Linked DNA regions of Bombyx mori. The protein of the gene in region 5 binds, or shares a complex with, the protein of the main gene of each other region. Links are inferred from orthologs where the notes say so. Each region holds a gene or a part of one and is shown on either strand. Other genes may lie near its edges. The genes, in order: U6 snRNA-associated Sm-like protein LSm8, small nuclear ribonucleoprotein G, U4/U6.U5 tri-snRNP-associated protein 1, U4/U6 small nuclear ribonucleoprotein Prp31, U6 snRNA-associated Sm-like protein LSm2, U4/U6 small nuclear ribonucleoprotein Prp3 and ubiquitin carboxyl-terminal hydrolase 39.

Evidence for each region.
Region 1: U6 snRNA-associated Sm-like protein LSm2 (region 5) and U6 snRNA-associated Sm-like protein LSm8 share a complex: the UniProt entries of both Homo sapiens proteins name them as parts of the precatalytic spliceosome. The link is inferred for Bombyx mori from reciprocal best matches to the Homo sapiens genes LSM2 and LSM8.
Region 2: U6 snRNA-associated Sm-like protein LSm2 (region 5) and small nuclear ribonucleoprotein G share a complex: the UniProt entries of both Homo sapiens proteins name them as parts of the U4/U6-U5 tri-snRNP complex. The link is inferred for Bombyx mori from reciprocal best matches to the Homo sapiens genes LSM2 and SNRPG.
Region 3: U6 snRNA-associated Sm-like protein LSm2 (region 5) and U4/U6.U5 tri-snRNP-associated protein 1 share a complex: the UniProt entries of both Homo sapiens proteins name them as parts of the U4/U6-U5 tri-snRNP complex. The link is inferred for Bombyx mori from reciprocal best matches to the Homo sapiens genes LSM2 and SART1.
Region 4: U6 snRNA-associated Sm-like protein LSm2 (region 5) and U4/U6 small nuclear ribonucleoprotein Prp31 share a complex: the UniProt entries of both Homo sapiens proteins name them as parts of the U4/U6-U5 tri-snRNP complex. The link is inferred for Bombyx mori from reciprocal best matches to the Homo sapiens genes LSM2 and PRPF31.
Region 6: U6 snRNA-associated Sm-like protein LSm2 (region 5) and U4/U6 small nuclear ribonucleoprotein Prp3 share a complex: the UniProt entries of both Homo sapiens proteins name them as parts of the precatalytic spliceosome. The link is inferred for Bombyx mori from reciprocal best matches to the Homo sapiens genes LSM2 and PRPF3.
Region 7: U6 snRNA-associated Sm-like protein LSm2 (region 5) and ubiquitin carboxyl-terminal hydrolase 39 share a complex: the UniProt entries of both Homo sapiens proteins name them as parts of the U4/U6-U5 tri-snRNP complex. The link is inferred for Bombyx mori from reciprocal best matches to the Homo sapiens genes LSM2 and USP39.

The regions. Positions count from the first base shown.
Region 1 is NC_085112.1:10,370,521-10,373,617, forward strand, and holds U6 snRNA-associated Sm-like protein LSm8, read left to right. Parts: upstream 1-1,646; 5' UTR 1,647-1,755; coding exon 1,756-2,046; 3' UTR 2,047-2,074; downstream 2,075-3,097. UniProt on the Homo sapiens protein: Plays a role in pre-mRNA splicing as component of the U4/U6-U5 tri-snRNP complex that is involved in spliceosome assembly, and as component of the precatalytic spliceosome (spliceosome B complex).
Region 2 is NC_085133.1:8,590,618-8,595,452, forward strand, and holds the start of small nuclear ribonucleoprotein G, read right to left. Parts: upstream 3,226-4,835; 5' UTR 3,078-3,225; intron 2,804-3,077; exon of another isoform or gene 2,420-2,803; coding exon of another isoform or gene 261-2,419; intron 174-260; coding exon of another isoform or gene 105-173; intron 1-104. Other genes in the region: uncharacterized protein LOC134201547, read left to right, coding at 105-173, 261-2,419. UniProt on the Homo sapiens protein: Plays a role in pre-mRNA splicing as a core component of the spliceosomal U1, U2, U4 and U5 small nuclear ribonucleoproteins (snRNPs), the building blocks of the spliceosome.
Region 3 is NC_085118.1:17,268,908-17,272,258, forward strand, and holds part of U4/U6.U5 tri-snRNP-associated protein 1, read left to right. Parts: intron 1-434; coding exon 435-567; intron 568-758; coding exon 759-864; intron 865-999; coding exon 1,000-1,131; intron 1,132-1,391; coding exon 1,392-1,505; intron 1,506-1,588; coding exon 1,589-1,789; intron 1,790-1,894; coding exon 1,895-2,014; intron 2,015-2,086; coding exon 2,087-2,174; intron 2,175-2,487; coding exon 2,488-2,618; intron 2,619-2,832; coding exon 2,833-2,973; intron 2,974-3,220; coding exon 3,221-3,314; intron 3,315-3,351. UniProt on the Homo sapiens protein: Plays a role in mRNA splicing as a component of the U4/U6-U5 tri-snRNP, one of the building blocks of the spliceosome. May also bind to DNA.
Region 4 is NC_085116.1:12,784,020-12,788,818, reverse strand, and holds the start of U4/U6 small nuclear ribonucleoprotein Prp31, read left to right. Parts: upstream 1-1,540; 5' UTR 1,541-1,663; exon of another isoform or gene 1,664-1,883; 5' UTR 1,884-1,895; coding exon 1,896-2,090; intron 2,091-2,163; coding exon 2,164-2,299; intron 2,300-2,474; coding exon 2,475-2,679; intron 2,680-3,013; coding exon 3,014-3,156; intron 3,157-3,982; coding exon 3,983-4,167; intron 4,168-4,799. Other genes in the region: probable nuclear transport factor 2, read right to left, coding at 1-76. UniProt on the Homo sapiens protein: Involved in pre-mRNA splicing as component of the spliceosome. Required for the assembly of the U4/U5/U6 tri-snRNP complex, one of the building blocks of the spliceosome.
Region 5 is NC_085129.1:20,029,528-20,032,503, forward strand, and holds U6 snRNA-associated Sm-like protein LSm2, read right to left. Parts: upstream 1,356-2,976; 5' UTR 1,283-1,355; coding exon 995-1,282; 3' UTR 915-994; downstream 1-914. Other genes in the region: protein suppressor of forked, read left to right, coding at 2,184-2,213. UniProt on the Homo sapiens protein: Plays a role in pre-mRNA splicing as component of the U4/U6-U5 tri-snRNP complex that is involved in spliceosome assembly, and as component of the precatalytic spliceosome (spliceosome B complex).
Region 6 is NC_085130.1:18,552,270-18,556,583, reverse strand, and holds part of U4/U6 small nuclear ribonucleoprotein Prp3, read right to left. Parts: intron 1,895-4,314; exon of another isoform or gene 1,838-1,894; intron 1,135-1,837; coding exon 945-1,134; intron 1-944. UniProt on the Homo sapiens protein: Plays a role in pre-mRNA splicing as component of the U4/U6-U5 tri-snRNP complex that is involved in spliceosome assembly, and as component of the precatalytic spliceosome (spliceosome B complex).
Region 7 is NC_085121.1:4,080,810-4,085,755, reverse strand, and holds the start of ubiquitin carboxyl-terminal hydrolase 39, read right to left. Parts: upstream 3,271-4,946; 5' UTR 3,149-3,270; coding exon 3,088-3,148; intron 3,008-3,087; coding exon 2,859-3,007; intron 2,623-2,858; coding exon 2,508-2,622; intron 1,762-2,507; coding exon 1,586-1,761; intron 1,363-1,585; coding exon 1,137-1,362; intron 974-1,136; coding exon 850-973; intron 751-849; coding exon 591-750; intron 407-590; coding exon 216-406; intron 1-215.

The DNA.
Region 1 (3,097 bases), on a different chromosome or scaffold from region 5:
AAAATAAAAATAGGGAATATTAAAACTAAACCTATAACCCGACACCATTTTACTTTGTGAAAGCGTGCTACATCAATTCTGAATACTGACATACGAATAATACATAAATACAATAGCGATGTAGTTTCTCTGCTGAAACGGTGACTAACATCTAAACATTAGTACCTAATTATCAATGTCGTAACTCGACACTTGCCATATATTCATACTATTAATAGTAAGTATTGCGAAAAATAAGTTATTGCTTGTGTCTTGTGACTTGTTGTCCACAATATTGTAGAGAAGCATTACTCGGTAATATGTTGCACAGTGTATCACAGCGGTCGGGGAACTTTTTTAATTATTACCCCAAAATATATTTTTTTAAGTTGGTTGGTTGGGTAATTACCCCATGGCGAAGAACAAAAAAAATATGAAATCGCTTCTTTTTAGTATCTTTCATATTATAGCCCCGATGATAATTTTCAAAAGAAAAAACTAAAAATTTAATTTAAGCATCATTTATTCAATTTATCAATGTAATACATAGTAATACATAACGGTAATAATAGTAATATCTGTAATATACAGTTGAGGAAAAAAAATCACCCCCACAGAGAATATAAGTAATTGATAATTTCTTGTTATTTTATAATTCACACGATGCCTACAATAAAATACCTGGGTCAATCACGTGAACTTTGTGTTTCCAAATAATGTGTTCTATCTCATTCTCTCGCCGGCTGAATCCTATATATTTATGTGTTTGTGTCTCTATGGACTTATTTTTCGTTTCGTTTAATTTCGTTTCATCGAATTTGAAATCACAACGATTCTAAAGAAGCTTCACTTCAATATATACTTTTTACTCACAAAAGTTTCATTTTTACGCCCCAAAATTTCATTTTAGGTAATTTACCCCGGTTCCCTGGCTGCTGGTGTATCATAATAATTTGTGAATATATGATCCGTCAGATCTTTTCTACCCAATTTACACGCTTTATATTAACTTCACTTGTATGTATGTTTGCAACTGACTCCTTTAGACGCGATTTTGACCCACTTTAAACGGCCAGAATTCATTCAAACTTTGTAGATTTATCGAGGACCGATAAAAAAATACTAATTTGATAAGATTATTCCATTATTCAATTTATAAAATAAGATTTTGGTCAATTTATATAATTTTTATCTATACTCGATAAGGCAGGAATTGATGTTAATGTACTTAATAGTTTTAAAAATACGCTTTTAAAGAAAATTTAAAATACATAATAGTTTAAAAAACTAAAAAAGACACTTTATATAAAATTCAACTAAAAAATTAAAATAAATTTTAATAAATTTAAATTGAAAATAGTGTAAAATATATTTTATTTAAAAAAAAGAGTGGGGTGCTTTTTAAGATATTATTGAAATAATAATTCTTCTACTCATATCTGTCAGAAAAATATTTATAACTAATAACACCATGCACCCCATGCTTTTTTTACAATAAAATATATTTTACACTATATTCAATTTAAATTTATTAAAATTTATTTTCTATTTTTTTAGTTGAATTTTAGATAAAGCGTGTTTTTTATTTTTTTAAACTATTATTTATTATGTAGTAATCATGTAGGTAGTAATAGTAATTGTAGTAGCTATTATACTAATCTGTGTAGGTACACATTTCAAATAATAATCTGTGGCAGCTCCCTGAAATTTGAAAATTTCTTATAGTTGTTTGATGTTGATTATTACTAATTTGAATTTATAAATAAAATAATTAGAATGGCTTCTGGACTCGAAAATTACGTGAATCAAACAGTGTCGGTAATAACTTCGGATGGACGTAATTTTATTGGCACCCTTAAGGGCTTTGACCAAACAATAAATATTATTTTAGACGAATCTCACGAAAGAGTGTTTTCCTCCACAAGTGGCGTCGCTCAAGTAGTACTTGGACTTCACATAATCAGAGGAGACAATGTGGCAATAGTCGGGCAAATAGACGAGTCAATTGATAGCAGATTAGACCTCGGAAACATCAAGGCAGAACCACTTGGACCAATGGTACATTAGAACTAGTTAATAAATGTTTTGTTATCAATCGGTGTTTCATTTGGGCAAATAAATATCATATTTTGTATTCGTCTCTTGTCTTGATTTACTAATTCGCAAAGCAGAATACATATTTTCACCCATAAAAATTAATCTTAGCCCTGGCTTGGGTTTTCCATTCTCTGAATAGGATTTGTGATAGCATGCCCTGTAATACCTGTTAGAATAGACAACACCCTGGATATATGTTCATTTCTTTGAACATAATCCTTAGGAAGTTACTTATGATGCCTATTGTAAACTACCAAATTAAGGGTTATATGTTTTACTCTTTCACAAAATACACATGAAGGTTCAAATACATTAAATCCCTGTATAATATATTCACAGGAATCAAAAATATTCATAGGTACTAAAAGAACCTTATTTCTCATTTGCTAATGGGTCTCATCACAATCAGCTCAGTTAGCCTGTTACCAACACAATTTTTTTAATGTGTTTGTGCTCTAGTAACTGGCATATAAATAACCGTTTTAGAATAAGCATAATAGCATTTCTTTTAATCGGCAAAGCCAAATAAACAAGAAAAAGATGCTTGAATTTTTTATTTTAATCGTGTCACAAAAAATGTTTTAGCATTGGTAATTATTTCATTGGAAAAATCACATTCCATTGATTAAATAAAAAGGAGCAAGCCTCATTAATTACATAATTAAGAGAACAAATTCCGTAAAAACGGATACATATTCCTTTCAGTCTGTTTTAGGAAACTTCAAAATTATGCACACTACTCATATTCTGAATACCCAGAGGTCATTCATTTATTCATCTATTGTAAGTTTGTCAAATTACATGTATGCTTGTTTTTACCAGTTTGTTGTTACATAATATATATGTTTAATTATAATTCAATTGTTATTTGTTTATCTACTTACTGAACAAAAAAGTTCCCAAATTAAAATGTTGCATAGTGCTACAAACAAAATTAGAAAGAACCTTATTCCACTACACACTATAATATTACCTACCTAATTATATTGCACAAGTTTATTAAATACGAGCAGTACATTAT
Region 2 (4,835 bases), on a different chromosome or scaffold from region 5:
ATATTGTTTATTTGTATTGTACTGTTGGTTTCCCTTATAAATAAATAAAATATAATAAGATTATAATACATACTAATTCTATTGTACTTCATATATTTTTACAGACGTCACCAAAGGAAGCCAGCGGAAAGAAAGTGAAAGTCAAATAAGAAAAAGAAAATTAGAAGATGTTGGTGAGTTTTGTATTATTAACTCCATCTACTTATAGCACCACTTTTAACGATTGGTCAATAAGTATTAATGTAATTTTTTTGTTTTAGATGTTACACCACGGAAAAGGAAGCTCTTAAGTGAATTGAGAAAAACAAAGTGCACATTGGCATCATTAAAAAAGAGCGCGAAACTAATAGACAATTTATCGTCAGAGTTTCTAAAAGAAATTGTCACGTCTGCGTTGATAAATCAAAAGCGTAAGTCACAAGGCAAACGCTGGACTATTAAAAATAAAATATCAGCATTAGCCATCTTCAAGCGTTCACCAAAAGCTTACCGATATCTGCGATATCTCGCACCATTTCCGAGTATCAAAACATTGCAAAAATTAATGAAAAAAATACCTGTTGAGCCAGGTTTAAATACAGCTGTACTTGACCACCTGAAAAAACTAGCTCCCATTAAAAAAATAAGAGCAAAATTATGTTCGCTAGTCTTTGATGAAATAGCGTTAAAAGAAAGGTTAACTTATAGCGAAGCCACAGATAAAGTGGAAGGGTTTATCGATTATGGATATGAGAGGAAAGATGAGCTAGCAAATCATGCCTTAGTCTTCATGTTACAAGGTATTGGGAGAAAAATTAAACAACCGCTGGCATTCTATTTCATAAGAGGCACAGTATCTTCAGAAAAATTAGCAGTTTTAATAAAAGATATAATTAAAGAAATTACTAACTCGGGATTTCAAGTTTTATCAACAATATGTGATCAAGCGCCCACCAATATGGGAGCATTAAGTCTGTTAAAGGAGTGGAACAATGGTGGACATAATTATTTTGAATTTGAAAATAAAAAAATTTATATAATTTATGATATTCCACATTTATTAAAATCACTGAGAAATAACTTTTTAAAACAAGGATTTCTGAAAATGGGAGAATTGAAAGGTCAATGGAGCCATTTAGTTGAGGTAGAGGAACGAAATAGAAATTTTTTATATCTTAGCAAACTCAAATCAACTCATGTACAACCAAAGTACAGAGCTAAAATGAAAGTTAAGTATGCCGCACAAATATTTAGCCAAACAGTGGCTGCTGTTCTTAAATTATTAGCTACGAATGTGGAAAATGTACACCGATCAGATGAAATATTACAGACTGCTTTGTTAATTGAAAAATTCAATAAACTTTTTGATTATACAAATGGGCCATCAGGACATGCTGACGTAAAAAAAGGTATACGGGAAAACGTATCTGCTAAAACTGACCATTTAGCTGTTTGGACAGAATATAGAAAGCAACTGTCTACTTTAACATTTTTCAACCATAATGGCGTGGAAGCAAAAAATGTAAAGTGTGTTCAAGGCTACATTATATCATTAAAATCGCTGCGTGATATTTGGCTGGAAGTTCAGGATTTAGGATATAAGTATTTGAATCTACGGCAGTTAAACCAGGATGCATTAGAAAATTTATTTGGGTTAATAAGACAGCATGGTCAAACAAACAAGCATCCGACGTGTTCTACATTTATAGCAGCTATGAAAACCTCTATAATATCAGGACTTACCGCCCCTCACAGCAAAAACTCCAATTGTGAAGAAGACAAAAAGGAACTCATGACGGATTTTCATGATTTAGTTTTTGGGTTTAAAGACGAAGATGATCAAGGTCAAGATATTAATGAGTCTCCTAGTCATGTTTCCACAGAAAATGAAAATGAGGAAGACAACCCGGTTCTCAGTATACCTGAAGAAGAAGAATATAAAGAAATAGTATGTGACCTAGCAAAAATTTCAAATCAACCAGTGGTCTATATAAGTGGATATCTAGCTTCTGTTATTCTAAAAAAAAATGATTGCCAGGTCTGTAGAGAAACTTTGACAGTTGCAGATCCAGAGGAAAATAAGATTTATGATTTAATTAAATTAAGGGAGTGGTGGCAAGATAAGAAATGTTTGACATATCCATCATTGCAGTTGTGTCAAACTGTACACACTGCGGTTACAAATTTTGAACAGTTTTGTATCCCTAACCTACATAATAACAATATTTGCCAGTGGACAATTACTATATTTTATTCAAATTGTAATACAGAGTGGCTATGCATTAATCATCGTCAACAAATGTCAGACTTATTGTTTACAAAATTGGCTCTAATGCTGATTCGGCGACAGTGCCAGATAATTAATTTAAAGCAAGTTTCAAAGGAAGAGGATTTGGCGGACGCGAACAAAAGGGGTCAACAATATGGTGTTTCAAGATAATTACATAATTAGTTTTTATTTGTTTTTTGTAGAAAGAAGTTAACTTCGGGTTTGAGTTCAAAAAAAGTATACATTTAGAGATTTAGAACTTTATTTTTTTACTATTATAAAATAGAAGTTTTTAAAAATTTACTCTTCAAATGGAAATAGAAACGAATTGTTTTTTATTTAGCACAAAAATTTTCAAAACCTAGTTCGTTATAACATTATAAAACAAGGTTGAAAACCTCTACATGTATACTTATTGTACCTTGCATAAAATTAAGTAAATATTGGTTTATATTGTAAAATAAAAATTAAACATTTCCGATACAAACTTAAAATTTTTTGTAAGCGTTAAAATTCTACTTACAAATTTCATTAAAATTATACTAAGTAATAAAACATTGTTTTATTTCTTTTAAAATAATAAAGTTTTTATTTCAATATGCAATCCTTGCCTGCATTCGATATCGACAAAAATATCGATAATATTCGCATCATTATTTATTGGACATCGATATTAATGCCCATCACTATTTTTGACAGTGGTAGGATTTTTGTAGTCTGTGGTTGTTTTAATGTTGTCACCAGATCGGATCTGATCCCATACATTTTCATTTTGTAACGTTTACTATGAAGTGCGGACTCTTATAACGTAGTGATTATATACTCTTTGGAATTTTGTCAATGAATTTAACTTTTCTACTATATTCTACCGTCTGAGACAGTGCTGCCACTTCCAAAATTAAATAAGAACCTTTGACACGGCGATATTACGATTATAATTTTGGAAATTATAGATCTTGGACATCAACAATATCAGAGGTACGTACGGTCAAGCTACTGCCTATTGCAGAGTTCTTCTTAAGCCTTGTCAGAAACTTGACAGCTTTGATCGAGCTACTTTTTCCCGGCCATAATAAATCTACGTTATTTATGGTAGTAATATGGTCCTCATAACTTGCTGAAAGAGATTTTAGCATGAGTTTTACGATCGGCCGTCTGTCTGACATGAATCTTTCTTGGGCTAGTAGTATATCCATGGCAGCGTACCATGGGAGGATACATTATAATTTAGATTTTTAAATACAAAATATCACGTTTTATGAAATTTTATGAATTTGCATAAGAATATCATAATGCATCATTCATACGAAACATAAAAACAGAAGCTTAAAAGGACACTCAGAACAAATAGAAAAAGAAGCATCTAGTGGGGTGCTAGATTGTTGGGGTGTTTGATGGTCTTTGGCAAAAATGTCTGAAAATATAATATTATAGATGATCACAATGGTTGCGTTTGTAAAGATAAACTCATCAAGCCTTCCAACGTAACTTCTGGCAGTAGCCAATAGAAAAAAACAAAAATAAGGCAATTACTGGCTGCTAGGGAAAATACATAAATAAATCTATTCTAGCACTGTACAGAATTCTAATGATTGTGAACTCAGGGTCTATCTGGTTGCTGCTCTAGTTGGTGGGTTCTGAATTCATAAATTTAACAAACGCTTTCGTGCACCGACTCTTAGAGTATCTAGGTTACCCCTTTGTTCAAAATGTTTTACTTCCATCCGTCCGTGCTACTTTATACAGTCCTAGATCACAAATAAACGCAGTTTATGGTATAACAATCCAAAAAAATATGAATCACTGTGGTTGTATTAATGTATACCATCATTTATAAGCTTAAGCTATTAGGCATGCCTAACCGCTAACCGCTTGCCAAAACCGAATTATAAAAAATATTAAAAACTCCGTAAAGTAAAAACAAGACCGAACCAACAGATAAAGTAAAAAGTTTTACAAAAAGACTGTTAATATACGTCTATACAGTATATCATACATTTTAATGTATTTAAGCATCGTACGAATGTCATCGATTTAAAATCGAAAAACATCGATCCATTAAACGAATTTAAGTAATTTTTTGCCAATTAATATTTAATAAAACTTAATAAAAATATTTATATCTGTGCTTCTATTTTATTAATAATGCACTGCAAGAAGCTACTTCAATGGTGGTGAAAACTCATATTTATTTCGTAATATGCAAACCTTTATTTTTATACTAACAAAAACATAAATATTGTAAGTTGGCAACTTGAAGTCAAATTTCGTTTAGAAATTAAATTAAAAAAGAAAAGATAATTTACCTAATAAAACAAATTCATCACTGAATTTAATGGTCAATCATCTTGAATTTTATTCGCATAAAGTGTATGCACGTAACTATGTTTTTAATTTATAATTGAACGTCTATATGCCCATTTAATTTAAGGTTTGAGTGTCACCTCACCTCCCACTGCCAGAAGAAAAGTAATTATGGGAGATATGTTCATATAGATTAAACCAAATTATAGCTGGCTTAAATAAAATTGTATATAATTAAAATCAAAAATTGTAAGAAATTCAGTAATATGCATTAGAAAACTGA
Region 3 (3,351 bases), on a different chromosome or scaffold from region 5:
TTTGATGTGTTATCTTTGCCAACAATAAATAAACAAAATAAAATTCAAATTTTTTGCCATTTTATATGTTTTTAGTCATTATTTTACACAAATTGTTCAGGTTAATATTTTCATAAGATAAATTTAATAGGTATATTATAGCAAAATTACCCACTGCTTACAAACTTTTAAATAGATTGATCTGTATCTGTCTATGTAGTGGAATTAATTACAAGTGTCAAGCCCCAACAAATAAATAATTTCACTTAGGAACTTTAAATTCTTTTTTATTGCGTTGATAAATTAACGTATTATATTAAAGTCATTAACAAATCAACATCAAGGTACATATAGCTTTTATTAATATTGTGTTCACAGTTGTCTTCCGACCGCGATCACTAACTAAAACTTGCTGTTTAAGTGTGAGTTCTACTATGGTTTTAATCCATTCACAGATGATGGTAAATTCAAAGATGACCTTGGCGAGTTCTACCATAAGCCGGCTACTAATATCACTGAACAGAAGAAAACAGAAAAACTCAAAGAGAAAATAAAAGAGCGAAAGGAGAAGAGGAATATTGAAGAGAAGTATGAAATACTATATTTTTGTTCCATTGATTGGCTTGAATTTTTTGATATTATTGTAATAAACGATAAAATATTACATTATATTGAGGAATAAGTACTGTTTGAATAAATGATCATCATAATAAGAACCAAATGAAATAAACTGGAAATTAATAAAAAAAAATTGTAATATAATGCATAATTTCATTTAGATTACAGACTACCCTACTCGGTGAAGGGTCTGACGATGATGACGCGTCGGCCTGGGTGAAGCGCTCCAGAGCAATAGAGACGCAGAAGAAAGAAGCTGCAAAAAGGGTGAGCATACAATAAATGCATTTTTTAGCTGCTGAGAACAAAAATCAAAAATCAATAGTTTTATCAGTTTAGATCCATGACCTAAACACCACAGAGACAACATAAGATATTAATGTGAAGCATGTGTGTACGCAGGCGGCCATGCTGGACGAGATGGACGCGGCGTTCGGCGTGTCCGCCCTGCTGCCCCCCCGCGCGCCCCCCGCGCCCGCCCCCTACCGCGCGCCCAGCCTGCGGGGGCTGCGGGTCGCGCACCAGCTCGATGCGGTACTCACACCTTCCCACCCCCCATATATTAATGGGAATACCAGCAGGCTATTTGATTTTGTGGTCATCCAAAAAATTTAATAAAATGCGAAATAATTTAGTTCTGTACTAATCACAGGTTGGTTTAAACTTTGAGCATTTCAATCACGCGTTGATTATTTTCGTTTCACGATTTCTAATCTCGTGGCGACCACACGTGTTAGTTCTAAATACTACATGAAACAAAAAAATCTGTATTAATAGATCTATAATCTGTACAGTTGGAAGATGAACGTGAAACCATTCTAACGTTGGCTGATAAAGAAATATTAGCTGAAGACCCAGAGGATGTGCTCATCAATGTCAATATTGTTGACAACGAGCGATACAAGAAGGTAAGATAACTGTTTTTACTATTTTACTTACATACATCAGTCAGTGAAAGACCATAATAAATGATATAATGGGTTTTGTTCAGAACGTGGAAGAACGCAAGAAGGCGCGCGCCGGCTACCAGGCTTACGACGAGGAGGCCGAGCTGCAGGCCTCCCTCGGCTTCCGACGCTCCGTCCTCTCCAAGTACGACGAGCAGATCCAGCCCGACCAACTCGATAAGGACAAGGGCTTCGTCATAGGGGACGAAGCCTCTCTCGACGCTCACAGGCGCAGAGAGCTCTTGGTGAGGCCCGCGTCACGTCGCATCACGCCGCGTCACGCCACGCAGCGTCACGTCACGCCGCGTCACGTCACGTGGCGGTGCGTTAACGTAACTGTGTATGTGCAGCTCGCGCAAGGCCCCGCCTCTCGCCGCATGGAGTCGCTTGCGCTGCCGCAGCCGCAGCTCGCAGCCGACTACATGGACCAGCACGAGATCCAAGCCAAGTTCAAGAAGACTAAGAGAAAGGTCAGTGGCCCCGCTCGTCGAGCGTCGCGCCGGCGCGGGCGGACCCGTGTGTACGTGTGTGTTTGTGTGCAGGGCAAGATGCGGACCAAGCCCAAGGACGAGCCCATCGACGCGGACACCTACGACGCCGCCGCCGCGCCACTCGACACCGACGACACAGGTCTGACGCGTCCTCCAGTCTTATATATATGTAGTAGTTTAATCTCACGTTTGCATGATCATCATATTATTTCAGCCCCGTTTCGAATAGTTTGTCGCCGCTGTGTCGGCGCGCCCTGCTCGTCCGCATTTAATGAATTATTAAAGTTCTTATAAAAACTCGATACATAACATACATATTTTTTTATAATTTACATAATTCTGATTATTTCAAACTTTACAACAATCCTGTTCCTTATCGACCTAAAAATGTAAGTAAAAGCGGGCTGTGCCCTAAAAACTAGTTATCAATCGACCTGTCGTCCCCTCCGCAGACGTGCGGGCGGGGGCCGCGGCGCTGGTGGTGGACGAGGAGGAGACGGAGCCCGACACCGAGCTGCACGCCGCGCTGGCCAGGGCGCGCCGCCTCAGGCTCAAGGAGGTGCAAGATGCCGCTGTGCCTAAGGTATCTTATATATTTCATAGATTCAAAGGTTCACTGGTAATAATATAATCGCATTTGAATGTCATTAAAAAAAATATTTATTAGATAAACAACTGTCGATAGTAAAATGTTTGCCGTGAAGGGTCACCTGCTACACCCGCCTGACTCTATTTTTTGTTGTACTGAGTGCCTGATGTCGTAAATAGGTTTAGTTCTAAAACTTGGTTCGGTTCAGGTGGAAGAACTCCTGGAGCGCGTGAAGGAGGAGCAGGTGGAGGCGGGGCCGGAGGGCATGCTGTTCGACGCCACCGCAGAGTTCTGCCGGACCCTCGGGGAAGCCCCGGCGTACTTCGCCAAGCAGAACCCGCACTCGCCGGTGAGTGCTGCCCAAGGGACGCTGCGGACAGCCGGCCGGACGATACATGCGTGGCCGTCATAAGCTTCCCCAATTTTTGTAACTGAAACGCATGACAGTTTCCTGTGCTTCCCCGTGCGGGCTCACGAGACGTCTCCAGCTGAATTTACACGATCTCGTTGTATCGTTTTCTCGTATTACATTTATTTGCTTCAATACAAAAATCATGATCACACATCACAACTTCATTCTAATTGGTGACGCACAGGAACACAACCCGGACATGGACGTGGAGGAGGCGGCCTCCGGGGCCTGGAGCAGGGTGGACGTTGACAGCGAGAAGCCGGCCGACCTTAAAGCGGGTAACTGTCGGCACGTCCAGGCCGACTCTTAATTAGT
Region 4 (4,799 bases), on a different chromosome or scaffold from region 5:
CCGGATCATCGAACAATGTGTAATATTGTTGCACAAAACCTTTACCGATTGCATCGTACTGCGGATTGAGCGCCATTTAGATTAAGATGTGTCTATTTGTCACTGTAAAAGATTGATATCTTTGAATATACTAAAAAATTGAATAGGAAGGTGTTCACTTAACTTTATTTAAATATTAGGCGTCTACACACCACCAACAAAAAGCCCAATTCCAGCCGAAAAATTCAAGATGTGACGAACTGACGAAAAGGGGCTTGAAAATTTATTCTGCTTGTTGACAGTTATGACATATTTTTTTTTAATGATTCTGAATGTAGTGTCTAAGAGGTATAAGATCATACAACACTACTATTTTCTACTAAAGCTGAGCTGTTTCCACTATTATGGATTAAAAGTATTAAAATCTAATGCTCTGACGTACTTTTTAGGAAAATCCTGTAATATATTTTTCAATTGTTATTAGAAAATAAGTCAAACTTGATCCACGTAATTCTTCAGATTAAAAGTACATTTCTTCTTCTTCGTCGCTTCCTCATTACTGTGGATCATGAGTCGTGACCACCTTGGTCTAATTGCACTAGTTTCCTACAATGCTGCCTGCATTTGGCCTGCTGAATGGCACCCGGAACGCTGGTGTTTGTGGCTTCCTTGGCAATGTCCGTCCATCTGGTTGGCAATCTTCCTCGAGCTCTCTTTCCTTCCACGTGACCTACAATTATTATTTTTTCCAATTTGTCAAGATTTCGTCAGGTCACGTGTCCGAAGTACTTGAGGAGATGCTGCATACAGATCGTAGATAGACAGGTCTTGACGTTTAGCTCCGAGAGAATTGATACATTTGTTCGGCGCTCCGTCCATGATACGACCAACATTTTGCGCCAACATCACATTTCAAATGCGTCAATTTTCAATCGGATACGGGCCTTGAGGGTCCACGTCTCAGAAGCGTACGAGAGTATGGAGAAGATAAGGGTTCTCATGAGCTTTATCTTAGTTTTTTGTTTATGTTGCGATTTCTCCAAATCTTCATAAATTTGATTCAATTCTTAAAAAAAAAACCAAGACTATTTCATTACAGCTTTCAGTATTTTTTAAATTGTAAAAAACAATCAAAAGTCACCGTCCTGTGAGACCTTTTGGCGGGAACGCGAAGAGCGAAGTTGTGTGAATTGTTTTAATTTGTCTATTTAGTATTTCTTTAGGTTTAAATGTGTAATAACGGTGGTTAATTATGAACTATTTAGTATTTATGAATATGCACAAATGTGGGAAAATGAAATAAAACTGCTGGGCGCAGCTTCTCGGGATCTACTGAAAAGTTCACTGAAAAGTCTTAATAAATATCTAACCACTATTTTACTGAGATTATATTTTATCCCATATCATCTCATCTTATTTCATTTAATTTCATCTCTATTAATGAATATCTCCAGTTAATCAACTTAAATTCATTTAGCTTCATATCATTTCCATGAAAGAGAATCTATAATTTATGAATAAACATATCGTATGATACCTTCGTCTTTATACTTGGAAAAATGGAATTACTACATACTAGGTAGGTACGGTACTACTTACTACTGTCAAGTACCGTACTGTCACTGTCATTTCTGTTTACTTTTCAAATTAACTATTGCAAATATTAGTCGCCGTAGGTACATAGGTAGGTAAATCATTTAGTTTTGGGTACAAACTATTGAAGTTTAATGACATCGCTGACTAAAAAATCAAATTAATATCTATAATGTATACTAAATGAAATATACTGTATAGCTGTGAAAGTCGATTTGAGTAAAAAACTGTAATAATTGTAGAATATTACAGAATACAATAGAAACAGAACAAGCTCACACATAAACTTAACACTCAGAAAATCAATTTAGTTCTACAGAAGCATGTCTCTAGCTGACGAATTACTTGCTGATTTAGAAGAAAATGACGATGGTGAACTCGAAGCTGCTATCGAGAGCAAAACCAAAGAAGAATACGACTTTGCAGTTCCATATCCCGTCTTACCTAAAGAAGAAGAAATCAAGAATGTCTCGATAAGAGAACTCGCGAAACTAAGATATTCTGATCGTCTGAAACGTGTATGTATTTAATAAAGTTTCTTGAAGAACAGTTTAAATATAAATTACAATTTTTCATGTAAACAACTTTTAGGTTATGAGTGAAATAGAATGTAATGCTGGAAATAACAGAAATAAGGTTGAAGTTGCTGGCTTAATGGAGTCTGACCCTGAGTATCAACTGATTGTGGAAGCAAATAATGTTGCTGTTGAAATTGATGGTGAAATAGGTATGCATTCCAATCTCCATTTTTCATGTGTTGATTTGTTTATTAAAACAGTTTCAGAGAATTGAACTTTTATGATTGAACGTAGTGTTAATAGTTCTCTTTTCATGAAATTATTATCTTGGTTGTCTAATTATTACTGCTTACAATATTAAAGTCAAGAAATGCAAATTTTCAGCTATTATTCACAGATTTGTCCGTGACAAATATCAGAAACGGTTTCCTGAATTGGAATCTCTAATCATCACTCCATTGGAATACATAAGGACAGTGAAAGAACTTGGCAATGATTTGGACAGGGCTAAGAATAATGAAATATTACAGAGTTTTCTTACTCAGGCCACTATTATGATTGTTTCTGTTACTGCATCTACAACTCAAGGGTTAGCTTCTTATTTGTTTTCTATTTGTGGTCTATTTTGTTTGCTAATATAAATCAATGCACTCACTCTGAGAAACATCGTGCCACATGTCATTGCAACGCGAGAGCATTGGTATCGCAGAATTCGACTGATACATGACCACAACCACTCTGTTAAGACTGTACGACTAGGAAGAAGAAAGAATAAATGTAAATAAAAATGTAGAAATGCAACATTTCAAATTCATTTAAATTATTATAGTGGACTAGAGTACAAAACAGGGACTTTGAAGATTTATTTTGATGAACATTTTGTGTAAAATAGTTACTTATTAAACAACTCAATCATTTGACAGGAAATTACTAAGCCAAATTGAACTAGAAGAAATCAATGAGGCCTGTGATATGGCAAGTGAGCTGAACAATTTCAAATCGCAAATATATGAGTATGTTGAAAGTAGAATGACTTTTATTGCACCAAACATAACTGCCATTGTTGGTAAGTGATACATTCTGTTGCCTATAATTACTAATATAAATTCTATTTAACACTCCCAAAACGATTAGTGGTAACAATTGTGCAATCACCCTTAGCCAACTGCAATTATTCCCCTCATCATATAATTTCCAAAATAGCAGAGTATTAGAAGGACCAAATGCCTCTTTCTGCATTTTTTGAGCCTGGCAGATTGTAAGTGCATCAGAACTCTAAATTGTAACCCTTTTAAAATAACATTTGCTTGGCAAAGTAGAGAAACGATCTGTTGTTAGAACGAGATGTTTTTTCTGTAGCAATTTATTCCCTTTTTACAATGCTCAGGAGGTCTGACCTGTCTGGTAGTTTGCACTCTGTTCTTGTCCATCATTGGATGGCCTTATTTATACTAAAACTATATCCAAAAATTTGTTGAGAGTGCTCGGGTTCTACGTTTAACAAGCCACCCTCCAATGGTCTAGACATTAAAATAATTTAACTAATCCCCCTCGCGACAAAATATTTAACCATATTGATATATTGGTAGTTGTTAATCAACTACAATAGAATATTTCTTAAATGAATGTGAGCATATTAAATGAATACTTTTTCTAATTGAAGGGTATGTGTGAATGAGTTCAGAATTATCCTGGTGATAAGTGGTTATCGAAGCCCATAGTAAGCACAATGGCACCACAAGCTCTTAGTTATATTTTATAACCCATCACACCATCCAAGCCAGAACTTAACTGCTTCATGGCACAAATATCCAAAGACAATGAAAACTACCCATGCGGGCTTACAATATGTTGTACCACCTGCGAATTTCTATCAAAACTATGTATTTCAGGAGCATCAACAGCAGCAAAAATCCTTGGTGTGGCCGGTGGATTGTCTAAATTATCAAAGATGCCAGCGTGTAATGTGTTACCTCTCGGGCAACAGAAGAAGACACTGTCAGGCTTCTCGCAAGCAACAGCTCTACCTCATACTGGGTTCATTTATTTTTCACAAATTGTACAAGATACAACACCTGTGAGTAATTTGAATATGATGATAATATAATATGAAAACATATTTTTTTAAGTATGACAATGGTATATTGAAGTTTTTGGTACCGAAATGTATTTTAGCCGTTTTACTCAGACTTAAACATTTTCTACTCCTGCAGTATTTCAGTTGAATTCTTAAAGATGTGATCACTATAAGCGAATAAGGTTTTTGAAACAGCCATGTTTCTGGCTACAACTCTATTATATTGAAAGTGCATAGGGAGCGTATTTAAAGAGTTTAGCCAATTCAATTTTACTAAACTGAAGAAATGAAAGAAAATGTTTGTGATCATGAATTTTCTTCTAATACACCGTCCGTCTTGGACTAGAGTGCATCTCTGATAACGGGAATCACTATGTTCACATGCAGTATATCATGATGAAAGAACAGGTTGCAGATGCTAAGGATCATAATATTGATCGATATCGTCAGCACAGGCGTCTTGGTATACATATGGTGCAGGGTGCAGGCGTAGGGGTGTTAGGGGACGCCGGCTTCGGCACTTTCAATGAACCTGTTACATTTGCAGTGATTCCATTTTGACCACGCCTTTACGAGGGTAATTATTGCACTGGGATGCTACATGGGCCAGAGATGCCTTTGATCTTTAAATA
Region 5 (2,976 bases):
AAATAATATTCCAGCGGCTTTGTGAAATAACTGCTATAAATTGTACCTATACAAAAATACGCATTGTTCGGTACCTAACTCTTCACGAATGTTATACGTCTACTCGAATTCGCCCACAAAAAAAAATTTAGCATAGAAGTCCAGGAGTAATGCGATGTAGTCTATATTGAAATAATGAAAATAATGTACGGTACATAGGTACGGTACTTTAAAAAAATATTGTACATAGATTAGAAAGGTGTTCATTTATCATATTTTCACTAACAAAATTTCAATATGTAACGGAAACTTACAACAAATGTAGTTTTAAAATTATGTTTCTATCTATATATTTCTGTAATCTATCTAGTTATATATATATAAATGAATTGCTGTTCATTAGTCTCGCTAAAATTCGAGAACGGCTAGACCGATCTGGCTAAATTTGGTCTTGAATTATTCGTGAAGTCCAGAGAAGGTTTAAAAGGTTCAGGTTTCAGGAAGGTTCAGTGTTTGGCAAGCAACATATTTTAATGATGCTTTTACAATCCCTTCTGCCTATGGAAAACTATGACATGGCCATCTTCAGAAAAAGTATATCTTAAAAATCCAAAATAACAGCTTTGTAAATATTTACATCCAAATTATGTACACTAGAGATCTAAATCAATTCTGGTTTGAAAAAAGGCTTAAGTATTAAGGAATGCAGCTATGTCTAATAATTATCAGTATAGTTTGATGTGAAAGGTAATAAAAACTTTTTTCTGTGATACATTTTTGAGAATGGTAAAAATATAGATGTTTTTTATTGATAAATTATTCTTTCATACTCTGGTATAAAACTTACATAAAACTGAAGAACTAGGTTATTTTTCGATCAAAGGAAACTTTCTTTTCTGAAATGAATATCCGGAGACCGCTACTAAAACACTATATTATAAGAATGATTTATTAAGAAACTTAAGCTTATATTAATATGTACACTTTAAATTGAAGTTGTAGGTTAGGTTAAGTTCTATCTTGTTGAAACGGTCGCCTCCTTTCTAGCGGCATCCTGGAGAAGCTGGGTGTCTACCTCATCAGCCGGCAGTTGTACGTATCGAACCACGGAGCCTCTTATAAAACAATTTTTCACTGATAACATATGAGGATACTTTTCAGAGTCAATCACGCTTATATCCGAAAGCTTTATATTGAGATATTGATCCACAGAATGCAACGTCCCACATATGCTGAGGTCATTTTTCAGCTCGACGACTACATCCTTACCGACTAACGATTTGAAAAACGAGTAAAACAACATTTTTCGTTTTGTTTGTTTGAAAACGCGCTGAAACAGTAATTTGGCTTGGGTTCTTCAATTAATGTCATTTAAAACTCAAAGTCAAAATCATAAAATGTCAATGCCAATAGCTTTTTGTAGCGGTGTGAATCGGTATTTTCCGTAATTTTGTTAGTTTTGTGCAGGAGCACCATCTCATTTCCAATGTCTTGCATTTACTACGTTTTCGTTACCTGTGCTTAAATTTTTAAAACAAATCGGGACTTTTTGGCGGGAACGTAAGGAGTGAAGCTGTGTGATTTATTTTATTTTGTCTATTTAGTGTTTCTTCAGGCTTAAATGTAATAATGTAATCTAATTTAATGTGATAATGGTGGTTTATTGACTGTTTAATATCTGTGAAAGTGTACAAATGTGGGTAAATGAAATAAAGCCGCTGGACATAGCTTCTCGAGATCCTCCAAAAAGTCCACTGAAAAAATCTCAGTCAATGACCACCATTTTACTGAGAATATGTCATCTCATATCATCTCATCTCATCTAATTTAATTTAATTTCATCGCAGTTGATTAATATCTAAAATTAATCATCTTCATTTCATGTCATTTCACTACATAATTGTAACATTTTTCATAAAAATAAGAATATTAATTAAAATAAGACATGACTTAAAGATCTTAATTACCAGGTCATAAAATTCCTTAAAGCGAAATGTATAATCTATAGCGTCCGCTAATCCCGTTTGAGCTTGGTTGAGTTGTTTAATTTTTTAAAGAAAATTGTGTTTTTTTATTGTTTTAAATCGATTTTAACACTGAGAGTAATGTGTCCACAAACAATCAGTACCTCATTTACTTAGTTCTTCGAAAAACTGTTGCTCGGACTTAAAACCAGATAGATAACCTCAAACGTAAACTTCAAAATGGCATCTGTAGATGAAATCGCCGACATTGTGAGTTTTTACGCATTAGTCGCATTAATTGAATATAATTAAAAACTAAAAGAACAAAGGTTTTCTTTTTTGATTTGATATTCCTGAATGTTGTGTAATTCGTTTATATAAGTGCATGTATTAGCAATCGATTGTTGTGTAGTTCTAAACAAGATAGTCATTTAGAAAAAAAAAAGAGGATCCTTAGTTTTATAGATACCGAAAACACGAGAGAGTTGTGACTGCGCTCCAAAACCGGAAGCCATTAAGTAACATTGACTTCGACCTGTAGTAACGTAAACTAATAATCAACCACTAAACCAACATTACAAGCGATTACACTGGAACCAGCTGTCTGCTAAGATCATTACAATTTCTCAAGAAAAAACCAAATTGTAGTACCTAGATCCTATATAATTACTCTAATCCATATTTTAAAAACGCCAATTAGCTGTTTAGCCTCTTACTGGTGGTAGGACCTCTTGAGAGTCCGCGCGGGTAGCTACCACCACCCTGCTTATTTCTGCCGTGAAGCAGTAATGCGTTTCGGTTTGAAAGGTGGGGCAGCCGCTGTAACTATACTTGAGACCTAAGAACTTATGTCTCAAAGTGGGTGGCGCATTAACGTTGTAGATATCTATGGGCTCCAGTAATAACTTAACACCAGGTGGACTGTGAGCTCGTCCACCCACCTAAGCAATAAAAAAAAAATTATAATGAGTTAGATACCCCACTGAAGCTTCATTACACTTTATAACTGTAAACTTCTTAGATGTAATTAAGA
Region 6 (4,314 bases), on a different chromosome or scaffold from region 5:
TGATGGAATGGTTTCATTTTTCAATAATTATCGTTGCTATAAACAATTGACACCACATTCACTTTTCACTGAACTTCATACTTGACGAAAACATGTAAATGTATTATTGTATAGCAGCTGTCCACGCGGATGCATCGCTCACTCAAGTAGGAGAGAGACAGATGTCGAACGCTGCCGAACGCGGAGGCCGATTGTGCCTCTTTGTCGCTCGTTGCGCGCTCTCGCTTGCACTTCAAGCCTTAAATGGAACGCCTCAGAGCGAGGTAACGCCGCATGAGTCATGTTTTTTCGTGCGTGCATCCATCGAAATATAAGACGTTGTCACGTCAAAATTATATGTATAATATATTATAGTCTTATAGTGTAAGTTGATGTACAAAATAATATGTGGGTATTGTGTTCCTTTTGTTTTTTTGTAACTCTGAAATTTCTATATTTCTCTTCTCTGTTCACTTTCTACATTTATATGTGATTTTGATTGTGGAAACATATTTGATTATTGTTTTAGCTATTTTTTTTTAAATATTATATGTTTGTATTGTACAGTTTGTTTCCCAAATAAATAAATAAATACGTGTAATACAGAACTTTTTACTGGTGGTAGGACCTCTTGTGTGTCCGCGCGGGTAGGTACCACCACCCTGCCTATTTCTGCCGTGAAGCAGTAATGCGTTTCGGTTTGAAGGGCGGGGCAGCCGTTGTAACTATACTGAGAACTTAGAACTTATATCTCAAGGTGGGTGGCGCATTTACGTTGTAGATGTATATGGGCTCCAGTAACCACTTAACACCAGGTGGGCTGTGAGCTCGTCCACCCATTTAAGCAAAAAAAAAAGCTTTTTTTTGGTCAGGAGGACATCGCCGGACTTCCGCTCTCCACTGGTGATGGAGGGCGGGGCATGTCGGAGTCCGGACCGGTGCTTGAGGTGTAAACTGAGACTTACCAGGTTTTGAATACAGTACAGGTTTGATTACACTCGGTGGGGGTATTGCATTGTTCTGCTGCATCTGCACTTTCAGGTGTTGGGCCGCAGCCACCGCAGCATTAACACTCGGTTTGGTCTCAACCCCCTTCAGCACTTGAAGAGCTCTCTTGCGTTCCTCTATCTCTTTCTGAGCGTTGGCCATCATTAACTGGAACGGATAAAATCTAATTTACATAGACTGTCATTTGGTCTTGACACAAAATTTCTGTGTTTTTGTTTTCATTGCCCGAGCAGGCAGATGAGCATACGGCCCACCTGATGGTGTTAAGTGGTTACCGGAGCCCATAGACATCTAAAACGTAAATACCGCCACCCACTTTCAGATATGAGTTCTAAGGTCTCAGTATAGTTACAACGGCTGCCCCATCTTTCAAACCGAAACGCATTACTGCTTTACGGCTGAAGTAAGCAGGGTGGTGGTACCTACGAGTGTGGACTCAATAGAGGTCCTACCACCAGTAATTACGCAAATTAAAATTTTACTGGTTCGATTTTTATTACACAATGTTATTCCTTCACTGTGGAAGTAAATCGTGAACATTTGTTGAGTACGTATTTCATTAGGTAAATTAATTAGTATACGGGATTCGAACGCCGTTGCATCGCAAGAGACGAATGCGCCGGACGTCTTATCCTCTAGGCCACGACGACTTCTTTCTTGTTCGCACAGTAGATTACGAACATAGCTGCAGACTTCTGGCATTACATTTACATTTTCTTTTGTAATGGCGGTCCTTTTTGATTTCGCCAAAGTCAAGTTTTATAGTCTGTGGTTTTGATTATGCTCAGCTGATGTCTTTTGGTGAAGTTTGGATTCTTTTTTGTTGGGTGGGCTTCGTGATTGCACAAGGTCACATCAATTTTAATTATTATTATTTTACAAAGTAATCAACTGTTGAATTACTAACCTAAAACAGGACAAACAATATATGTATATATACATATACATACATATATATATATATGTTACAGAAAAGATTGTCAGAAGATTAGTAAGGACAAACAACTTATAGTCTAATGTTATTCTGGTGAACATATTCACATAAAATATTTACAAAAGTTGTATGTACAAGGCTCAACAAAGATTTGAAATTCGTCGGTCTGGGGATAATGTCCGGTAGAACTTCGTAAAGGGAAGGTCTTCTAGGGCAGTTAAAGAAAATGTGTTCTGCTGATCCCTCGTCGAGCCCACACTCACATAGGGAGCTATCCTTGACCCTTATTTTAGCTAGGTGAACCGGGGTACAAGCATGACCTAATCTTAACCTACATATTGTGGACGTGACTCTCTTGTTGGCTTTCCTGTATTTAAAAAACCAAGGCCGAACGAGCAACGAGTCTTGAACATCCGCGTAATGTTTGCCTTTAATGCGCTTCGAAAGGTTCCACGCTTCATTCCAGCGCGATATGAGATCGGCCTTGGCTAGAGACGTTAGATCTTGTGCATAGGTTGTGTAATGAATATCACTACCTATTGTCGTGGCATCCTTAGAACACTGATCAGCACCCTCATTACCCACTATACCGCTATGTCCCGGGATCCAAGCTAGGGTGATTTTTATGCCAGACACGTGACACCGAAAAAGAATTTCTTTAATTTTCAGAACAAAAGGGAGTTTTGACTTGGATCTGAGTTGGTTTGCAAGGATTGCCTGTAGACAGCTTCTAGAGTCGGTGAATATCACCGTGTTGTGTAGCTTATGTGATTCTATATACATCAGGGCTTCAAGGATAGCTAGCGCCTCTCCTGTAAAAACCGAGGCTTGAGGGGGACACTTAAAGTTTAAAATGATTTTGTACTCCGGTATCCAGACAGCGAAGCCTACACAGCCGTCAGCTTTTATTTTTGATGCGTCAGTGAACATAGTATGCCAACCGTTCCATTTACTATTGACGACAGAGTTAAATTTGGCGTTTGCACCGGGGTCATCTTTATTTATTCCGATATTTAGAACAATGTCCGGACGGTATAGAATTGCATTATAAGGTGTGAGGAATAATGGATTTAACCTACATTGATAGACGGGACAGGGGAGGCTGATAAACTTAACAAAACTGGTGAAGAGGCATGGGTGGGACTTATGATTCCAGTAACTGTTGAAATAGATGTGTTCCGAAAGAGTATGTAACTTTGAAATAAGGGGGTGGTTAGAAAGCTGAAAATTTTTGTAAATGAATCTGTCCGATAAGTATTGTCTCCTCAAGTGCAAGGGGGGTTCTGCACATTCAACCTGAAGGGCGTTAATGGGGGAAGACTTCATTGCTCCGATTATGATACGTAGGCACTTTGATTGGATCCTGTCCAAGGAGGTTAAGGCAGACTTATTGCAAGGTTCTAGAATGTGAGTGCCATAATCAAAATGGCTGCGAATCAAGGCGTTATATAACAGTTTTTGAGTGTAGGGGTGTGATCCCCACCATACGCCTGACAGGGAGCGAAGAATATGGATGTTCTTTTCGCACTTTTTGATGATGTGGTTAATGTGTTGGACACCAGTCATACGCGAGTCAAGAACGACTCCGAGAAATTTTACTGAGTTTCGCACTGGGAATATTTTGCCATCAAACGAGACAATGACGTCGGGAATAGATCGCATGCGAGAAAATGTCACTACACTGCTCTTCTCAACTGAAAGGGATAGACCATGATTACCTAACCAGTCATGGAGATAGTTAATAGCGGAGTTGAGGCGAGCAGAGGCATCCCCTAAGTCCCTGACTGAGACGTATAGAGCCAAATCATCCGCATATTGTAGTACGTTGCAGAATGAATTTACCGAAAGTTCTAGGTCGTAGGTATACAAGTTGTATAATAGAGGGCTTAAAACTGATCCCTGAGGGAGGCCCTTCCATAGAAGTCTAGGAGGAAGTAAAGAATTTTGGCAAGAAATTAAAATGGCTCTAGATGAAAATAGATTAGATATGAAGTTAACCATCTTCTCTGGGATACTCAGCTGGAGCATTTTTTGCCTGAGTACAGGAAGAAGGACATTATCGTATGCGGATGCAATGTCAAGAAAAACCCCGACCAAGGACTCTCTTTTAGAGAGAGCAATGCGTATATCCGTTGCAAGGCAACCTACGCTATCCATAGTGCTCAATCCCTTCCTAAAGCCAAATTGACTTGCAGGGAGGATGCCTCTACTCTCCACAAACCACTCCAATCTATTTTTAACAAGATGTTCTAAAATTTTGCTCATGGTACATGATAGGGCGATGGGACGGTAGCTACTTGACTCGTTATTAGGTTTTGCTGGCTTGAGGATAGGGACGATTATTTGGGTTTTCCATTCATCTGGAGGGATTCCTAAAGAATAAATATTATTTA
Region 7 (4,946 bases), on a different chromosome or scaffold from region 5:
GAATGATGGACATTTTAAAAACACTTCTATGGCCAGAACAGAAAAGCGTTGCGTTTTGCGAATAATAATGTTCAAAATGCCAATATCATTAAATTAATAAATAAACGCAATTTTTCAACTGTTTTGATAATTTTAAATTTAGTTAAATTTGTTATTTAATACAAGCTTAAATCAACTATTTTCTATCAAATAAGATCTGAACAATAATGACTCACTTGACAGGAAAGTTTACAACTGTAGGATTCTTTTCAACGAAAAAAGTATTTTTCGTAAACCTTTTTATGTAAAGAATTAGATAAGGAGGCAGCTGTGTTATTTCAAATCTTTTCAAAAAGTTCTCTTTATAAGTCTTGTATTCTTTTGATGTTTGACCATTGAATTTTGACAACAGCTGGTAAAGATTTACCTGTAATATCACAAGAATGTTAAAAATATTCAAGCAGAAGTTTCAAATAGTTTTTATGTTAAGTTTTTTGTTTTAAATCCTATTTAAGTGGATGTGAATTGATATAAAAAAACCAGTCTTAATAAAAAAATAAAAAAGTTAGTGAATACAATTTTTAAATTGCAACAATACTAGGTATTTTCACCTGTGGAATAATATTTTCGCGGAACTCATCAGTGAACAATGGCGTTGGAGGCAAATCACATGTGAGGTACAAAAATGGAGACTCAGTGATCATTTCATTGTACTCTTCACTGCTAAGATCGACTTTAGCTGCATCATCAGCATCCGGCGGTGGCAACTTTCTGAAAATTTCAGTCTGTTCAGAAATTTTTGACTGCATATAATGATAGATTAAATGTTAATTATTTTGAACTTTAAAAAATCAGATGCTTAAATCTTACCTTGTATAGATCCTCATGTGACCCAGAAATGACTTATAAATTATGGAGCTATTTGGCTTCTTTGTACCATTCAGTGCCATGTGTAATGAATTTAGAAACCAAGACAGAAAGTCTATTGGATCACCTGAGCAAAAATTTATTTATTTATAAATTTTTATTATTATTATAAAACAATATATAATTAAAATATAAAACTGATCAATCAATATTCATACTTTTTAGCATAATATACAGAAATTACACTAAGAAAGCATGTTCGTATATCCAAAAAACTACTAAAATCTTACTCTGCTTAATAAACTGATATCGCTTCTTAGACCACAGCACAACAGCCTGCAACATCTCGTGAGGAGATACATGTGCTTTAAAAGCACGGGGGTTCCATAGTTTGCGTAATAATTCACCAAATCTTTGTACAAGTAAAAAAGACGAGTCCCCTGGTGGTCTTTTTACACTAGCATAGTTCTCTTCTCTCAAAAAGTAGTTACGTAGGGGACGTACTTGTGACAAACACTAAAATCATAAAATGAATTTAGTATAAAACTGTGACAATATTAAGACTTTGTAGCACTGTGTAATTATTCACTACAAATATACATAATGGTTAAAACAGAATCAGTTTGACTGTAACGCATCTACTTTCACAGATCGCCGGCAACAAAAATATAAGTCGCATTTATCATACAATAAAAACAGTACATATCATAAAATGTATTTAATAAAAACATATACTGACCTGCAAAATTACATTACAGTAATCATTGGCCTTGATATTATTAAGGCCTACAATGCCAGGCATATACATTGTGCCATCAATGGCTCGTGACATCTTTGTGTTAGTATCTATAAGCTTGATCTGTTCAGGTGTGAATGTTGGGTTCAAAACATATTTGATGTCATTCAATGAAGAGTCTAAAATGTGAAATTGTCTTTTTTTATGACTGTGATAGGTAGATTAGCTCCCGGCTCATCTGATGCTATGTGATTACCCGCATCCCTATAACAGGAGTTCTAAGTCTCAGTTTTACAGTACAACAGTAGCTGTCCCCTTCACCAATGCACATTATTGCTTCACGGCAGAAATAGGCAGAGTGGTGGTACTTACAAATGCAAGCTCTTAAGTCACCCTTAGAACAAATTATAATTTATGCAAGTTTATTATAATCACAAGATGGATTTGATACATTCCTTCACCAACGAAGTGTTAAATACATATTAAAAAAATTGGTACCTGCCAACAGAATTCAAACACCACCACAGTTGCACTGCCCAATACAAATGCACTGGGTGTCTTGTCCATTAGACTATTACAAGTTTTAAAGCTTTACTGTACTTCTAGTCATTGATACCTAAATTTAAGCTTAAAAGTATTTTACTTGATTCCATTTTGGTGTATAAAATTTTAAAAATCAGTCAAATTTTCCTTATTATTAATTTACTTACAAAAATAAAGTCTAACAATTTATTTTAAGTTATCGCATGTGTTAACAACTGTAAAATGCACCAATTCTTAATCATAATATTTTATAAATATTTTCAATGCACAAAATCATCAATTGACCGAATTCATTTATATCTTATTATTATTTTATTTATAATTAATTTATATCTAACATAAAAGCTATTTTAGCTAACCAAGTTAAAAATATGTAATTTACCAATAACTTCATAATTGTCAGGAAGACAATAGAACTTTAATGTGTTAAGATTCAAAAATACATGGTGTCCATCAGCCACTGAATGTGTGTAGGCATGAGTGTTGGTGCCTCTTCCCTGGAAAGTAGATAGATTTTAATGATTTTTTCGCAAGTGATTAATTCAAATTTATGCCTAAGTCAACATAAATAACCTATCTTACATATCACTACAGCAAAGAACTGGAATGAAATGCCAGGAACAACACTGGCGCTCATAAAAATCGTCATCATGAAAACAAGTAACTTGCCTGTAAAAAAAAGTTCAAGCCTCTAATCACCAAAGCCATGACAATTGCATAAATATTTTGTTACCTGAAAATATTTACCGCACACTAAGCAAGCGTAAACATTGATTCTAGTCAATGAAACCGAGCACAATTTCTCAAAGTCAAAATCTAAAACATGCCGATTGATAGTATCCAGGTAAGGACATTGAATTTGTTGAGTTTTCGAATATCGTCCTGAAAATATAATAATACTTTGATTACAAATAGCAGTAGAGTGCAGAATCATAGAAGGTTAGAATTGCATTATCAAGTACCTTGTTTGTCAGTCCCATTTTCATCAGTTATTTTGCGTTTTCTAGATTGTTCTTCAGTCATTTTATTACTATCATAGACTTTAGACAATGTAGTTAAATGAAGAATCTGAAATCTAAATGTAAAATGTAAATATTAATCGTTAAATGAACTTTTTATGGGATTTTATGATACGGTAACTAAGACCTTTAGGTCAGGTCTTAATTAAATTTATATTCTTATTTTTATGAAAAATGGTAATACGAAGTGGTATGAAATGAAATGAGATAATATAGTATGAAATATGAAGTCGTCGTGGCCTAAAGGATAAGACGTCCGGTGCATTCGTGTTGAGCAATGCACCGATGTTCGAATCTCAGGTGGGTACCAATTTTTCTATTGAAATACATAACAAATGTTAACGATTGACTTCCACGGTGAAGGCATAACATCGTGTAATAAAAATCAAACCCGCAAAATTATAATTTGCGTAATTACTGGTGGAAGGACCTCTTGTGAATCCGCGTGGGTAGGTACCACCACCCTGCCTATTTGTGCCGTGAAGCAGTAATGCGTTTCGGTTTGAAGGGTGGGACAGCCATTGTAACTATACTTGAGACCTTATCCATCCTCCAAAAAGTTCACTAAAAAGTATCAGTAAATGACCACTATCATAGTGAGATTATATTTTATACCATATCATCTCATCTCATTTCACTTCATATTATCATTTTTCATAAAAATAAGAATATAAATTTTATTAAGAGTTGACCTAAAGATCTTAGTTACCGTGTCATAAAATCCATTAAAAAATATTTTAGTAGGAGTATGTGTTCTATTTTCGAACTGGAAAGGCAAAAGTATGATACCATACAGCCTAATCTTTCATATTTTTTTGCTTATGATAAATGATTATATGAAATGAAATGAAGTTGATTAATTTGGAACAATAATCAATTGGCATGAAATGAAACGTAATGAGATGAGATGAAATATAGTCTCAGTAAAATGGGAATTATTTTCTGAGACTTTTTCAATGGACTTTTAAAAAGATCCCGAGAAGCTACATTTAACGGCTTTGTTGCATATTCATACATTTGTGCACTTTCAAAGGTATTATACAGTCAATTAACCACCATTATTACGCATTTTAATCTGAAAAGACACTACATAAATTAAATAAAACAATTGACACTGCTACGCTCATAGATTAATATTTGAAAGCTTCGCTCCTCGAATTTCCGCCAAAAAGTTATTATTTTGCCAATATTGTAATTATAGAGTAACTTGGCAATTTTTGGTAATATTTAGGCCTTGTCCGCACAGCGATATTTCACCGCGCGATTTTTTTCTCGTAATTCTGTAACACATTTAATATTATAGAAGTATCCGCACTGGCGGGAACGAAATCGCGCGGGAAAAAAATCTGTGACTTGATGCAAATTGAACGCGAAGCGGTGCGATTTATTTCCGCGCGAATATTTTGTATCGTGTAGAGTAAGTATGGCTATGTTCGCACTGTGGAATAAAATTCGCGCATTTCGCTCATAGTCCTACAACCTCGCTATTGAAAAGATGTAGTAAAGTAGTTGTAGTAAATTATCGAATGATATTTTTGTCATTCTGTAATAGCCAAAAAACTTTTTGCTGTATTTTCGCACTCTTGATATTTTATGTAGAAAAAACTTTCATGGGTCTCAATGCCGTAAGTGGGTGAATCCAATTCTCATGAAATATTTTGATACGTTTGTTACGCCATCTTAGCATTAGATAAATTAAAATTTTTGTTCGGTTGTCCATTTTACACGTGCGTCTCAGCCGAGAACTTAAATAAACTGACGAAAATAGTACAAAATTTTATTCGCAGTGCGTACTAGGTGTA